4 linked regions of the Ovis aries genome follow. The protein of the gene in region 1 purifies or fractionates together with the protein of each later gene. This does not show direct contact. Links are inferred from orthologs where the notes say so. Each region holds a gene or a part of one and is shown in the gene's direction. Other genes may lie near its edges. The genes, in order: ELAVL1, IGF2BP1, TRIM21 and BTRC.

The links.
Region 2: the proteins of ELAVL1 (region 1) and IGF2BP1 purify together in Homo sapiens (co-immunoprecipitation; 3 studies listed by BioGRID and IntAct, with this or other methods). This does not show direct contact. The link is inferred for Ovis aries from reciprocal best matches to the Homo sapiens genes ELAVL1 and IGF2BP1.
Region 3: the proteins of ELAVL1 (region 1) and TRIM21 purify together in Homo sapiens (affinity purification with western blotting; 3 studies listed by BioGRID, with this or other methods). This does not show direct contact. The link is inferred for Ovis aries from reciprocal best matches to the Homo sapiens genes ELAVL1 and TRIM21.
Region 4: the proteins of ELAVL1 (region 1) and BTRC purify together in Homo sapiens (affinity purification with western blotting; 4 studies listed by BioGRID, with this or other methods). This does not show direct contact. The link is inferred for Ovis aries from reciprocal best matches to the Homo sapiens genes ELAVL1 and BTRC.

What each region holds. Positions count from the first base shown.
Region 1 is NC_056058.1:14,469,913-14,474,265, reverse strand, and holds the start of ELAVL1 (ELAV-like protein 1), read left to right. Parts: upstream 1-1,479; coding exon 1,480-1,651; intron 1,652-4,353. UniProt on the Homo sapiens protein: RNA-binding protein that binds to the 3'-UTR region of mRNAs and increases their stability.
Region 2 is NC_056064.1:37,261,643-37,265,390, reverse strand, and holds part of IGF2BP1 (insulin-like growth factor 2 mRNA-binding protein 1), read left to right. Parts: intron 1-374; coding exon 375-423; intron 424-949; coding exon 950-1,001; intron 1,002-3,748. UniProt on the Homo sapiens protein: RNA-binding factor that recruits target transcripts to cytoplasmic protein-RNA complexes (mRNPs). This transcript 'caging' into mRNPs allows mRNA transport and transient storage.
Region 3 is NC_056068.1:49,571,229-49,575,495, forward strand, and holds the start of TRIM21 (E3 ubiquitin-protein ligase TRIM21), read left to right. Parts: upstream 1-1,385; 5' UTR 1,386-2,088; intron 2,089-2,125; exon of another isoform or gene 2,126-2,257; intron 2,258-2,753; 5' UTR 2,754-2,789; coding exon 2,790-3,197; intron 3,198-3,689; coding exon 3,690-3,785; intron 3,786-4,267. UniProt on the Homo sapiens protein: E3 ubiquitin-protein ligase whose activity is dependent on E2 enzymes, UBE2D1, UBE2D2, UBE2E1 and UBE2E2.
Region 4 is NC_056075.1:22,074,362-22,078,109, forward strand, and holds part of BTRC (F-box/WD repeat-containing protein 1A), read left to right. Parts: intron 1-1,675; coding exon 1,676-1,837; 3' UTR 1,838-1,868; intron 1,869-3,748. UniProt on the Homo sapiens protein: Substrate recognition component of a SCF (SKP1-CUL1-F-box protein) E3 ubiquitin-protein ligase complex which mediates the ubiquitination and subsequent proteasomal degradation of target proteins. Recognizes and binds to phosphorylated target proteins.

The sequences.
Region 1 (4,353 bases):
GCTGACTTTCCTCCGAAGCCATCTCTGTGCCCTGCTGGTGTTGCTGAAAGTCAGGATTTCTGTAGGCAGCTTAAGGTTTTCCAGAGCCTACCAGCTTTGGAGACAAAGGTCCCCTAACTGGCAGAGAACTCGTAACCTCTTTCCTAGCTCAGTCACTCTGTCTTGGGAGGAAAGCAGTGCAGAGGCCCTCTGCCTGCTGGCTGGAGGACAGACAAGGTGTCTGGGTGGGCTGCCCCGGCGCTCGTCGCAGCCTCCTCCGTGTGCCGCTGCACCAGTGGTGCACATGGAGACTGGACAAAGCAATCAGGATCCTTAGAGTGTTCTCAGGACACCCCAGACACTTCCCAGAGGCTCCAGTCATGGTACTGGAACTGTTTGTGGGCTTGCTTCTTTAAAGCCCTCTTATTAAGTGCAAATGGTTAAACTTGGACTAGTTCTGGTTTTGTTTCAGTAGACTTTATTTTTAGAGCAGTTTTAGGTTCACAGAAAGATTGTGAAGAGAGTCCAGAGTAAATTTCCCTATACCCTTCCGCAGGCACAGTTTCCCTCCTCTATTACTAAATCTTGCCTTAGTGTGGTATTTTGTTGTAATAGATGAACCCATGTTGTTACCTAACTAAAGCCCAGGGTTTGCCTTAGAGTTCACTCTTAAAAAACTTCTGGATTTGTTTCTTTTTGGTTGTGCTGCATGTGGACTTTCTCTAGCTGCAGTGAACAGGGGCTACTCTTCATTGCAGTGCATGGGCTTCTCATTGCAGTGGCTCCTCTTGTTGCAGAGAACAGGCTCTAGGCCCACGGGCTCCAGTGGTTGCAGCTCCTGGGCTCTAGAGCACGGGCTCAGTAGTTGTGGTGCACAGGCTTAGCTGCTCCACAGCGTGTGGGGTCTTCCTGGACTAGGGACCAAACCCATGTCCCCTGCATTGGCAGGCAGATTCTTATCCACAGTGCCACCGGAGAAGCCCTAGACTTTACTCTTCACTTTTATACCCTCATACAGAGGAGCGGCGCTACCCTAAAAACCCCGGTGCCCTACCTGTTCGTTCCCCTTTCCCCGAAACTCCTGATCTTGCAATCTCTCTAGTTTTGCCTTTTCCACAATGTCACATACTGGAGACCCTCTATTTTCAGCAGTGTGCATGTAAGGCTCCTCTGTGTCTTTGTGGCTTCCTGGCTCCTGTCTTGTTGGCACTGAAGAACCTTCCATTGTGTGTGTGTTACCAGATGACTGGTATGTGTTTCTCCATTCGCCCACTGAAGGGCATCTTGGCTGCCTCCAGTCTGGGGGTGGTTACGAATAAAGCTGCTATAAACATCCACGTGCGGGTTTCTGCGTGGACATAAGTTGAACTCATAGCATTGAAAAGAAAAATGTCTTAAGTACAAACATAGTCATGAGCGTTGCTTTGATATCCTGCAGTGGGAACGTTTGGAATTTACTTCATTTTTTCTTCCCCTGCAGATTTTTTTTTTTTTAATACAATGTCTAATGGTTATGAAGACCACATGGCCGAAGACTGCAGGGACGACATCGGGAGAACAAATCTGATTGTCAACTACCTCCCTCAGAACATGACCCAGGATGAGCTACGAAGTCTGTTCAGCAGTATTGGTGAAGTGGAATCTGCAAAACTTATTCGGGATAAAGTGGCAGGTAAAGAAACAGAGCCATTTTTGTATGTGTTGGGCGTGGGGGATGGTATGTGGGGCCATCCCACCACGCCCTGTTTCTTAGCCAGGAAGTTTCATTTTTATCTCAACTCTGTTTTGCTCCCGTCCTGGTGTAAGATTGGCTGTAGGTTCCCAAAGGAGGAAAAATCCATCCTGAGATGGAGAATATGTACAAAACAAGACAGTGGGAGGGGAGGGAAGATGAGGAGACAGGAAGGAGAAATGGGGATGCTGTGAGAGCTGGAACAGGCACGGTCCCAGCTGTAGAGGGACCCTAGCCAGTGTCCTGCCAGGGGCAGGCCCAGCGTGTCTTCTCAGGCGGTGCATGCCAGGTCACACCTGCGGCAGAGTGCTGAGTCAGTCCCCTGTGGGCAGCCCTTCGCTGGCTTTGGGCCACCCTGACTCTGTTCTCATGCTATCAACTTGAACATCTGAAACTGAGCTTGAACTCTCACGGGGGCTGGAGCAGGGGAGCAGAGGATCATGGGTGGGCCGTGGATTTGGCAGGCAGGCAGGCGCAAAGCTCCACCCTCCTACAGCGCCTCAGTGTCCCCATCCACGAAGTGGAGGTGGTGGCTCCTGCCTTCCTCATGATGCTGTCTACCGCCTAAGGGTTTGCAGAAGGCCAGTACCTGGTAAGGCCCTCTGTAAGGAGGCCTCTGTTCTGCGAGCGAGGTTGCAAGGGTTCTAGAGAGAAATGTGAAGAGACATGGGGCTGTGAAGCACTTCCTTTCTTTCCTCCCCAGGGAGGTACATCTTAGGGAGCCCTCCTTTACCTCCCACTCCCCCTCCTCCTTCCTCCTCCTCCTCGTCTCTGCCCAGCTCTTCTGACGAATGGCCAGTCCTCTCGGCAGTGCTCTGGCTCCCACCCTGGCTTGTAAGATCTTGATTCCCTACACTGAAAAATAATTTCAAAGTCAAAAGTCATATTTATTATGGAAATATATTGGGTTGGCCAAAGAGTTCGTTCGGGCTTCTCTATAGCATCTTATGGAAAAACCCGAACTTTTTGGCCAACTCAAGATTTAAGTTTACATTAGAGTAATTCTGTTGAACCCCATGTACCCATTGTCCTGTTTCATCAACTCACAGCATTTGCCAGTGACTCTAAGATGCCTGTCCCCAAGGTGAGTCCCGCTGACCCCAGGGCTTTGTTTTGTTTTTATTTGATTGTTTATTTGGCTGCACTGGGTCTTAGTTGCAGCATGTGAGATCTCAGTTCCCTGACCAGGGGTTGAATCCGGGCCCCTTGCACTGGGAGCTCGGAGTCTCAGCCACTGGATCAGCAGGGAAGTCCCAGAGAGAGGACTTTGAGCTCAAAGTCCTTTAATGACCCTCTCAATTCTGAGAGTGTGCAATTTATTACATGTCTTCAAAATAGGGGCTTTAGATATACACAAAATTGAACAGTGTTGGAATGTTCTAGAAATTCCTCTCTCTCTCCAGTTCCAGAAGACCATCCTTAATAAGAATCCTTGTTCAGAGAGGTTTTTAAATTCTTCTGCGCTGCTGCTGAGTCTTGCCTTTCTCCTGTTGTGTTCTGGCAGAAGGAAATTTTCAGTCCCTGCAATATTCCTGATTCCTCTATCTCTTGGCTTGTTGTGTTTTTCAAAGGCATTAGAGCTATGTTGGAGAAGGCAATGGCACCCAACTCCGGTACTCTTGCCTGGAGAATCCCATGGACAGTGGAGCCTGATGGGCTGCTGTCCATGGGGTCGCTAAGAGTCGGATACGACTGAGCGACTTTACTTTCACTTTTCACTGTCATGCATTGGAGAAGGAAATGGCAACCCACTCCAGTGTTCTTGCCTGGAGAATCCCAGGGACCGCGGAGCCTGGTGGGCTGCCGTCTATGGGGTCGCACAGAGTCAGACGCGACTGAAGCGACTTCACAACAGCGGTAGAGCTATGTTAATAGGAACACCTGGATTTGGCGACATGAGTCTGGAGAGAACTGGTTTTAAGAACCAGTGAAATCAGCACAGGCATGATTTGAAAATTATTTCAGTTCAGAAGTAAAGATCTTCTGCTCTCTGGGCAAGTTTGAATGTAATGCGTTGGGAGTCGTAGAGTAGATGAGCCTGGGTTGACATTTCAGCTCTGCATCTCACATCTTGTAGTTCTTTATTTAAAAAAAAAAAACAACCATATATATATACACACACACACACACACACACACACACACACACACACACATTTATTTATTCATTATTTGGTTGCTCCAGATCTCAGTTGCAGCATGTGGGATCTAGTTCCCTGATCAGGGATCGAACCTGGGCTCACTGCATTAGGAGCACAGAGTCTTAGCCCCTGGACCAGGGAAGTCCCTGCTGCTGCTAATGTTCAGTCGCTCAGTCATGTCGACTCTGCGACCCCATGGACTGTATCCGCCAGGCTCCTCTGACCATGGGATTCTTCAGGCAAGAATATTCGAGTGGGTTGCCATTTCCTTCTTCAGGGGATCTTACCGACCCAGGGACTGAATCTGAGTCTCCTGCATTGGCAGGCAGATTCTTTACTGCTGAGCCACCTGGGAAACTGCAGTCCTTGATAGTAGTTCTTTAAATTGAATGAACTTAATTTTATGGAAAACTTACCTCATTCACTTTTCTTCTCTTGCCACCAGTGTTTGATAATTTCTTCAAGGCTGGTTCTGGGGCCAGGGCCTCACATCTCACTTCTT
Region 2 (3,748 bases), on another chromosome or scaffold:
TTCATACAATAATTCACATAGCTAGCTCTGTATTCCTAGAGGCTGAAACCCGGTGGGTGGTAACGGATGGTTACTGAGTAAGATATAACTAGTGAGGAACCTAAGAGAGATGAACAAAGCAGGTATGACTGGGGGGAATTAGTTATCCTAGCGCTTAGGGCACCTGGTTTTGGCTTTCCTAGCTGTGGGCGAACTGTATTTCGCTCTCTAAAGAGGCCAGGTTTCCATTCCCAAAGGTTATCATTCTTAGACTCTTAAGGCTTTGGTGTTGAATAGAAGGTAGGAAGATAGACTGGAACGAGGACTAAAACCTACAAGGTCACAGGCCCCTAAAGTATCCAGAGCTGTCACTGATGTTTTCTCTCTGATTTCAGGAGTCGAAAAATACAGATCCGAAATATTCCACCCCAGCTTCGATGGGAAGTAAGTGATTAGGGGAAACTGTTAGTGGGGTCGTGGAGACTGGGAGGGAAGTCTTGGTTAGCCTGAGGTGGCAGAGATGACTGGGAGGTGTCCTGGGGGCTTGGTTCTAGGCCAGAGGTTCTGAGGGAGGGGGTGGCGGGGTGGACAGTTGGATTGCATCCTCAGCCTAAGACTTCCAGCATGAGTTCTTGGGCATTCCCTCTGGTGAGAGGCATCAGGGAGGTGGGAGGGGTATTCCTGAACCCCAAGCTTAGAGATGACAGAGGACCGGCTGGAGACCCAGGTGCTGCAGGTCTGCTTCCCCAAAGGACCTTAAGTTCCTTTTTGAGCTCAAGTACATTCTGTGAAGAAATTCTGATGGATTACCACCAGCATTAGTACCTGAGAAAGGGCAAACCAAGCAGGTAACATGTTCAGTCCCCACCAAAGGCTTTCCCAGTGCCTTGGGGTGAGGGGTGTGCGCAGTGATGACTTGGTGAGTTCCTGGGGTACTCAGGTTAGCCGTACTCCCTTCCCCTGCTCTCAGGTACTGGACAGCTTGCTGGCTCAGTATGGTACAGTGGAGAACTGCGAGCAAGGTAAGAGTGGATAGAGGCGGCGGTAGTGGGGTAGGGGTAGATGGCTGTTGGAGGAGTTGTGGGGGGCGGATGGGCGGAAATCTGCTCTGCTTCCTTTTCTGGTGCCACATCTCTCTGGAACACCAAACAAAGACAGCCAGAGGGTACCGTGGAGGGAGGTAGAGTGGAGTGTCCCAGCGCTGGCTCTGCTACTTCTCTGGAACTGGCTTCTCCTCTGATTAATAAGAGAATCAACAAAACCACTCATTCCCAGCATGGAGTCTGCATGAGCCAGCCAAGGTAGAAACAGGTTCCCAAGATTTTAGAAATAGGTTAAGAATGCAAGCTGTGCGCAAAGTAAATCTGTAGCCCTTTTATTTTAAAAGCTTCGTGACTCTTGGTTTTTGTCTGAAATAATCAACAGGTTGTCTTTTTTGGGTGGGGGTGGGCGGAGGGGATAGAAACTGATTGTCAGCTACATGTCTTTGGTTAATTAAAAAAAAAAAAGCAGAAAACTTTTGCACATATTGATGGGCAGGCAAAATGTTTCTCAAGTCTGGGCCCATGGGAACTTCCCTGCTGGTCTAGTGGCTAAGACTCCATCTCCCAATGCAGGGGGCTTGGGTTTGATCCCTAGTCAGGGAACTAGATCCCACATACCACAGCTAAGACCTGGCGCAGCCAAGAAAAAACAGTAGGCCCACAGTTCAGTTCAGTCACTCAGTCATGTCCGACTCTTTGCAACCTCATGAACTGCAGTACGCCAGGCTTCCCTGTCCATCACCAACTCCTGGAGTTTATCCAGACTCATGTCCATTGAGTTGGTGATGCCATCCAACCATCTCATCCTCTGTCATCCCCTCCTCCTCCTGCCTTCAATTTTTCCCAACATCAAGGTCTTTTCAAATGAGTCAGCTCTTTGCAGCAGGTGGCCAAAATATTGGAGTTTCAGCTTCAATATCAGTCCTTCCAATGAACACCCAGGACTGATTACCTTTAGGATAGACTGGTTGGATCTCCTTGCAGAAGGAGAAATAATAGAAGGGAATTCTAGATCATAAAACGTTTGCTATGATTTTTGAAGTTTCTCCAAAAACTTAAGTTCTTCTCAAATTGCTTAGGATTATATATTATTTTCAGAGGATATGAGCTAAAATAAAATTTGGAGGACTTCCCTGGTGGTCCAGTGGTTAGAAGTCTACCTGCCAATGCAGGGAATGTGGGTTTCATCTGGTCTGGGAAGAGGGAAGATTCCACATGCCATGGGGCATGGTACAACAAAGCTCCGGGTGCCACAACTCCTGAAGCTGGCTGTCTAGAGCCCTTGAGCTGCAGCTGCTGAAGCCCTTGCGCCTCTGGCCCACGCTCTGCAGCAAGAGGAGCCAGAGCAATGAGAAGCCCGCCTACTGTAATGGAGAGTAGTCCCTGCTCGATGCAACTAGAAAAAAGCCCATGTGCAGCAGTGAAGACCCAGCTCAGCCAAAAGCGAATGAGTGAATGAATGAAAATTTGAAGTGATTTGGCCTGGACATAAAGTAGAGCTTGGTCGTTAGGCAGACAAAATGGTTTGAGTTTGCAGATCTTTAAGAAACCTAGACAAGACAAAATATTCATCTCCAAATTCTAAAGGGCCAAGCTGTAAATCACATACTCGCCTGCACAAAGATCTGAGGTGCTGAATCAGTGGAACAGGTTCTCTTCTGCTCTGACCCTGGAGCTTGCTTTTACTGTAAGCACCAGGGCATAACTGGAAGCACTGATAGCCATTGCTCAGTCCTTGATATCCATTGTCCAGGCCTGCTTACATGTTAGACTGATGACTCAGTTACTCCTGGACAGACAGCAGTGGCTTGGGAGCACGTTGGAGAGCTTCACGAGGGGTGCCCGGCAGGGGTCACTGCTAGTTCAAAGGCTCACCAGAGAACCATAACACACCTAATCTGGGGGCGATGCCTGCTCCCTGGAAAAAACAGAATGGGAAGTGTTTGCTTTTGTAACAATAAACTCTTCATCTGCTCAAATGCAGCTTACTAAGCAATGCCCTTTCTGTCCACCCTATGTGAAATTATACCCCTAACCACCACTTCCTTTTCCCTGGTTTGTATTTCTCCATAGCACTCAACCCCTTCTACTTTTTTTCAGGGAGAACATGAATTTATTATTTTTTTTAATTGAAGTATTGTTGATTATAATATATTAGTTTCAATTACACACCATAGTGATTCAGCATTTTTTAAGATTCTACTCCATTGAATGTCATTACAAGATAATGTCTATAACTCCCTGTGCTGTGCAATATATTTTTGTCCTTTGACTGTTTCGTTTACTTATTTATTTATTGGCTTGTGGGATCTTAGTTCCCTGACCAGAGATCCAACCTTGGCAGTGAAAGCGCTGGGTCCCAGCCTCAGGATTGCCAGAGAGTTCCTATCATTTTACTTTATACATAGTAGTTTGTATCTGTCAGTCCATACCCCCATACCCTTGATGCCCCCCTCCTTTTTAGTAATCACTAGTTTCTCTTCTGTATCTGTGTTTCTGTTTTGCACGTATATTCATCTGTATTTTTTAGATTTCTCATGGGTGATATCACACAGTATTTGTCTGTCTTTGACATTTCACTAAGCGTAATATGCTCTTGGTCCATCCACATCTCTGAAAATGGCAAGATTTAATACTTTTTTTATGGTTGAGTAATAGTCCATTATCATACCATCTTTTCACCATCTTTGCTTATTATATTTTTTGCTTTCTCTTCTTACTAGTAT
Region 3 (4,267 bases), on another chromosome or scaffold:
TCTGATAATGGGGTTGCACTATGGAATGCAGTGGTCTTACAATGTACATCATCAACCAGAAAAAGATGGTCCAATAAAAATATGAGATGCACTGCTGAAGGCTCAGGTATGGCAGCAGTTTGGAAACCCCACTCTATGATATAAGAATGTTGTACCATAAATTCTGGTGCACATCTAAGATCAACAACTAATAGGTGATGGTATTTTTTATAGCCATTATAAACACACTCTTCAGAGAATAAAGAAGGGAGGTGGTTGCAGCTCCTATTTCCCTCAAACTAGTAACTCATTTACAGATCATTTTCTTTCCATCCCCCAACACAGGGCTCAGCCTTGTTCTAAGGGTCTAGTAAAGAAAGAAGTTCTTCCACCAGAGTAAAAACTCTGATTCTTATAAATAGGAATTTGCCACTACTCCCTGGCTCTTTGAGGTTTCTTGTGCTTGCTGCTGCTGCTGCTGCTGCTAAGTCGCTTCACTCGTGTCCGACTCTGTGCGACCCCATAGACAGCAGCCCATCAAGCTGCCCCTGGGATTCTCCTGGCAAGAACACTGGAGTGGGTTGCCATTTCCTTCTCTGATGCATGAAAGTGAAAAGTGAAAGAAGTCGCTCAGTCGTGTCCGACCCTCAGCGACCCCATGGACTGCAGCCTTCCAGATTCCTCTGTCCCTCGTATTTTCCAGGCAAGAGTCCTGGAGTGGGGTGCCCTTGCCTTCTCCGTTCTTGTGCTTAGTGGCTCAGTTGTGTCCGACCCTTTGAGACTCCATGGACTGTGGTGAAGTATACAACTGTGAACGTATTTAATGCCACTGAACTACACACTTGAAAACGGTTAAGATGGTAAATGTTATACGTACTTCACCATAATTTAAAATAATAATAAAACAACCTGAGAAAGTCCCTGGCTCAAGGATAAGTACACAGTTGTTGCCTCAATAAATGTCAAGTCCCTTCTTACCACTCACTGGTGTGATAATGCGCTGAGGTACTGTGGAATAAATTGCTCTCCCCCTGATGTTAAAAGAATATCAAGTCTCCTGAAAAGGAATTGTTTTTGGAAATAGGGAACAGAAGATGGCCTTTAGAGGAGACCTCCAGGCACCCCTGTCCATCCAAACCTCCTTTAAAGCAGCTCCCACACGAGGGCACAGCACGTAGGCCTGCATGGCTCCTCCACGCAGCAGATACGATGCTTCACTCTATTACACAATGAGGACACGGGAGGGAACGCAAAGCAAGGACTAAAGGCTGCGGAGCTTTCGCTCGCCCCAGCCTCCCAGAAGCTCCAGACTCTGGCGGCACCTCAACCCCTCCGCCTTCCTCCTCCCTTGGCCCCGCCCACTCTCCTCCCGCTCTGCCCGCCTCCCTTTCAGATTTGCGGTGGACAAGGAATCGAAAGTGAAATAAGGAAACGGCTGCCATCCACTGCGTCTCTTGAAAAGGTGAGTGAACTTGGCTAGACCGAGGTACCCCAGCTCTCCCTAGGGGACCTCTCTCCCCTGCCCCAGGTCTGAAGTGCCTCATCCAAGCCGTCCCCACCCCTAGAGATTTCGATCTCAGGTTTTCTTTCGCAACAGGTCTCCCTCAACCTTAACCCAGCAGTTTTTCCCCTGCAGCCTGGGAGGAGGCTGGGCTGTAAACCTGACTGGGATGTCCCCTGGAAGGAGCTCGGATTGCTCTGCTTCCGCCGGCACCTGAGCTGGGAAGAAAAACCAGGGAAACTGGGAGAACCAGGATGGCAACCTAGCTCAGGGGTGGTCCGGGAGCCCGGTGTGGGGGTAGGTCCGCGATCCCTGAGACTGCTGTCCCCAAAAGGCTCCCTCTGGAGGTGAGAGAGACAGGGTTGCTTAGGATATTAGAAAACTATGGGTCTGCGCCCTAGAAGAAACAAAGGCGGGGCCAGGTTCAGGGTAGCTGAGAGAAGAGCCCAGGAAGTTCTTAATAAACCTCACGCTTCTGTGTGTATGCACATACATATATACACACATATACATATGCGTGTGTGTGTGTGCTCAGTCGTGTCTGACTCTTTGCGACCCCATGGACTGTATGTAGGCCGCCAGGCTCCTCTGTCCACGGGATTTCCCAGGTAAGATACTGAAGTGGGTTGCCATTTCCTTCCCCAGGGGATCTTCCCAACTCAGGGATCAAACCTGCTGTCTCCTGTGTCTCCTGCATTAGCAGGTGGATTCTTTGCCACTTGCACCACCTAGGAAGCCCATGTACTTACGGATATACGTGTATCCTTATGAAAATATGTAAGCATAAATATAAATATTCTTATATATATTCATGTTACCGATGATTAGATAGATACCAATAACTCCTGCCTATTGCAAAGATTAATGAGAATGTATGTGAAGCATGTAGCACCTGGCACATGGAACGAGCACAGTCAATGGTCGCTACTGTTAAGATTAGCTTCTCAACAGAGTAGAAAACCAGTGGCCTGAGGCAGAAGATCAATAGGTAAAGCCTGGACTCTGAGCGGTTAAGCAGAGATGAACATGATGAAAGTCGAATTGTAAGCAGCTGTCTCTCAGGTTCTCAACAATATTTGCTATCTCTTGGGGACTCAGTGTCCCCTTCTGTCTGACTGGATCAGTGACCCAGACTATGGAAGAGGAGCACTATTCAGGTTGAGGTCCTTGTCTTTTCTTGTTTTCACTCCCTCCAGTTCACCCTCTCTCGTGGTTCCCTTTTCTTACCTGGCTCTTCTCTTCCGTCCCTTTCCTCTTCTCCCCTCACCGCAAGATCTCCCCAGCACTACCGAAGAGGAGCATCACCCCAATGGCTTCAGCCGTACCCTTGACAATGATGTGGGAGGAGGTCACGTGCTCTATCTGCCTGGATCCCATGGTGGAGCCTATGAGCATTGAATGTGGTCATAGCTTCTGCCAGGAGTGCATCTCTGAGGTCGGGAAAGAAGGAGGTAGCGTCTGTCCTGTGTGCCGGCGCCACTTCCTGCTCCAGAATCTCCGGCCCAATCGACAGGTAGCCAACATGGTGGACAACCTTAGGAAAATCAGCCAGGGTGCCAAGGAGGGCCCACACGGGGAGCTGTGTGTGGTGCACAGAGAGAAAATTCACCTCTTCTGTGAGGCAGATGGGAAGGCCCTTTGCTGGGTGTGTTCCCAGTCCCAGAAACACCGTGATCATCCCATGGTCCCTATTGAGGAGGCTGCTCAGGAGTACCAGGTGAGTCCTCAGCACAGAGGCAGGAACAGGTAAAAAGGAGATGGGGCCCTGTTGATGGCTTTGTTCCCCAGAGCTGGAAATGGGAGAGAGTTACCTGTGGGGCTGGGGAAAGAATAGGGGTCTCCTGCCTTCTATGTCTTATTTAAGGGGGAAATGGCAAGCTCAGCACAGTTTTCTCATTCTCACAGAGCAGGGATGTGCTATGGGAAAATGCTTCAAGAATCTTCTTCCCTTGTGGCCTCCTGCTTAATTAGGAACAAGCAGTGCCCCCACCCTTTGTACACCAACCGTGTGGCCCTATTTTGTAAGAAATATCAGGCTTTTTCCAAAACCTTCCCATCCACAGAGTTCCTACCCCAAACAGACTCTAGTCCTTCCTTGTCCTCTGCACTCAGCCTCTTCTAAGAACCAGTATGATCTTCCCCCCACTTCACACCACTGCACCCTACTTCTTGACCTGACTGGGTATCATCTTGCTTTCGTTCTCTGCAGGAAAAGCTTCAGGTGGCACTAAAGAAACTAAGAGATAAGCAGGAGATGGCTGAGAAGCTGGAATTGGACATTGCAATGAAGAAAGCATCCTTTAAGGCAAGAGTCATATCCTGAAGGGAATCTTAGATCTGAAGCCTGGGGAGGGTCCAGCTATGCCAGTCCCTATATCTCACTCCCCAAGAACCAGCTGCCCCATAGGTCTCTTGATGGAGGGGATTAAAAGAGTGTGGAGATCAAAAAGAGCTCCCAGTCAGATGGAGAGAGAGTCTTAGGAAAAGGTGCTGAGGGACAAGATATATTCTAATGCTCCTGCTTCTTGAGCCCAGTCTCTGGAGATGACAGCCCAGTCTCTGGAGATGGCCTCAGAGTTTGGGACAGGGGAATGCCAGGAGAGATGCCCAATGTCAAGAAATGACAAGTTGTCAAGAAATGACAGTGACTATGAGAACCAGATTTAAGTGAACCATAAAGGCCTAAGATGGGCTTCCCTAGTGGCTCAGATGGTAAAGAATCTGCCTGCAGTATTGGAGACCTGGGTTCAGTCCCTGGATTGGGAAGATCCCCTGAAGAAGGGAATG
Region 4 (3,748 bases), on another chromosome or scaffold:
TTCACACTCATGCATTGGAGAAGGAAATGGCACCCAGTCCAGTGTTCTTGCCTGGAGAATCCCAGGGATGGCGGAGCCTGGTGGGCTGCCGTCTATGGGGTCGCACAGAGTCAGACACGACAGAAGCGACTTAGCAGCAGCAGCAGCAGGGTTTAGTTAAATGCTCTTATGTGCGTCTGTCAAGTTGGTCAGTGTGGTTTTCACCTGTATTCTGTTAATTGTTATGTTTTTGAATATATTGAGTTTTGAATATTAAACTTTGTATCACTACAGATCCCATAGACATTAAAAGGATTATAATAAAGGAATGCTATGAACAATTCTGTGCCTTCCAAACTGATAATCCAGATGAAATGGACCAATCCCTTGAAAAATACAATATTCCACAACTTAGGAAGAAATAATCATTCTGGATAGACCTAGCCTTATTAAAGAAATAGAATAAATAATAACTGTCCAAAACAGAAAGCACCAAGCCCATATGGGCTCACTGATGAATTCTACCAAATGTTTAAGGAAGAAATTATACCAATGCTCTATCCTTTCCTCCAAAAGATAAAAGCAGTGTGAATATTTCCTACCTAATTATGTGAGGCTGGCATTACCCTAATCCTGAAACCAAACAAAGAAAACTACAGATATGTCTACCAATATGTCTTATGAACACAGATGATCATGTATCTCATGAGCTTATTTACATCTTGTAAAGAATGTGAAATAGTGCAGCCTCCATGGAAAACAGTATGTATGCTTAGTCGCTCAGCTGTGTCCAACTCTTTGTGAACCCATGGACTATATAGCCCACCAGGCTCCTTTGTCCATGGGCTTTTCCAGGCAGGAACACTGGAGTGGGTAGCCATTCCCTTCTCCAGGGGATCTTCCCAACCCAGGGGTCGAACCTGGGTCTCTTGCATTGCAGGCAGATTCTTTACCATTTGAGCCACCAGGGAAGCCCAGTTCCTCTGTGTGTGTGTGTGTGTGTGTGTGTGTGTGTGTGTGTATGTACACAGAGAGAGAGAGAGAGAGAATAGAATAGAATATTATCCAGCCTTAAAAGAAAGGAAATGCTGTCATACGCTACAACATAGATGAAACTTGACATTATTCTAAGTGAAACAGGTTTATACCTGCTTCTTAGAGCCAGTTGTTAGATTTTCATGAATTCTGCAAGCTGGTTGAACTCAAGATAGCTAGCTTGAAATTAGCTAGGATAGAAATTTTTAGACTGTAAAATGTGGAAATGCTTTTACAAATTGGGGATAGTTAATTGATAAATACATACCAACACAGTACTGCTTATTGCTCATCAGCCCTTGGCCTATGATTGTAATAGAATCCTAGAGATACAGAGAAGAGGATGAAGCCTGAGAGGTACTGAGGAATGTTCTCATTGAGGCTAAAGTCTAGGAGAGTTAGCAATGAGAAACTTGTGTACTGTTTGACATGTGTCAGCTCCAGTGAATATTACTTTGACTATATATGAAATCAGCTACCCAATATTTGACTTTTATATCCTGCCTTTAATCCAGATTAAGATTTTTATTTGTATTCTTGAAATGGTCAAGAAGACTATCAGCTTTAGCCTTTCTATAGACTCCTTTTGACATGTTGCTGAATTTGTGTTTTTTTTTTTTTTATTTTGAATAGTTCAAAAGTTCTGTTTCTGCTTCTTTAGGAGCATTCTGGAAGAGTTTTCCGACTCCAGTTTGATGAATTCCAGATTGTCAGTAGTTCACATGATGACACAATCCTCATCTGGGACTTCCTAAATGATCCAGCTGCCCAAGCTGAGCCCCCCCGCTCCCCTTCTCGAACATACACCTATATCTCCAGATAAATACTCATACACTGACCTCAGACTCGCCCAGGTATGAAAAAGAATTGTGTACATAGCACTGAGGGTAAGCAGTGGAACACTGGCTGTAAGGTATTGTGAGTTCATGGAGCCTTCTCATGCCCTTTCTAACTCCAAGTCCTATAATACAGAAACTGACACCACGAGACAGGGCTGGGCTGCACACCGGATGCTGCCCTTGATTGAGGTAACCAGCTTCGGTCCTTAGATAATTCTTGAGCTAGACCTCGATGATCCAAGTGTAGTAGAACTAATATTCCTGCCTCAGTCATCTAGTCGCATTGTTAAGGAAATAAAATGAGATTTAAATCAGTTTCAAAACTAAGAGTATTGACCCCAAAGCCTATGGCTTTGTAATTCCCAGATTACTCTAGTACCTACAGTGGAGACCCTTTAACCCAAGTAGATAATCTGATGTTGGAAAGAAAAGAATCCCTTGGCAAAATAGCACACAAGGCTGCCTTCTCATAGCTCTTGTCAGTGTCATTTGATTATAAAAGGTGGCTTTTCTCCATCCCCCTTATCTGCATTCCCTGCCCCCTCCAACTGTTTTTTGACCTTGGAAGTAGCTCTGGAGTTGGTGAGAATTCCGATATTCTCCCACTCAAGTCTCTGTCCTGTCTCTGGGGCAGAAGAAGATCCTAATGTTCATCTTAACCTATATCCCTGGGACCCTCAGATCATACCTGATGGTCCTGAGCAGGTCAGATATAGGTCATCACTGGTTTGGGAAAACTGTACTAGCTACTGGGAAATATTGCCGTTATTGTGATTTCTCATTTCCTATACTTGCCTCTGTTCTTGTGGCAGAAGCACACATTCAGTACACTCTTCTGCATATCTTTCTGCAGTGGTTCTTCTGAACAGAGTGTTTTAAGCCTTGCTTCATTCAGTACTCACTTCTCTCACAGAGGATGTGGCCGCTTTCTCAGCCAAGGCACAGAGGCTAGCCATGTGCCCTTGGGCAAACAGCTTCCCCGAGCCTTAGTTTCCTTGAGAATTGTAATACCTACCATGCAGAGCTGTTGTGAGAATCAAATGTTATGCGTAGAAACCTTAGTGCTTAGCACAGTGCCTAGCACATAACAGATTCTCAATAAAAAAAGTAACCATTAATTAGTAGCAATATTGAAATTGTCATATAGGTATCCCTTCCTTTTGCCAAAATATTATCCTCCTCAGATTTCAGTGGCATTTTGGCTCTCTGATTGTTTACATTTCCTCCTTTGTCTCACTCCTGAAACTTAGACATCCCCTAAGAGTCTGTCTCAGGCTTTTCTTCCTTACCTGAGTTCCTTTCTTTGGCTCCCTTATCTCTCCCCAAAGCTTCAGCTCTCATCTCCAATTTGTATGTTTAGTCCCAACCTCTGCCTTAATCTCTAGGCCACATTTCCAGTCACTACCTACACACCTGTCCTTGACGGTACCAGGGGCGCTTCTGGGGCACACATCTAACACTCAGGCTCTCCCCTCATCTACACTACCAGTGCCCTCCAGCCAAGCAGCCAGAGAGCTTCACCCTTCTCCCCCACTTTTTTTTTAGTGGCATACTGCATTCATGGCCACTAAGGCCGGAACCTCAGAGCTGTCCTCACCTGCTCTACCATTATAGGAAGCAGGTGGAAGCTCAGTGCTACACCCACCATAGTCACTGTTAGTCTCTAAACATCAGAGTCACTCTGCATGAGCACTTAGAGTCCTGAGCCTGTCAGTGAGCCCTGCTGAGCCCCCAGACAGGCCTTGTAGCCTTTGACAGAAACTCCTGTGTGGCATGGACAGAGAGCAGGTATTAGGAAGGACCTCTGAGCCTTTCTCCCAGTTGACAGCTAGTTTAATATTCTTTTCCTCTTAGAGAAAGTGAGAAATTCAGGAAAAGGGACTAATGACTCTGTG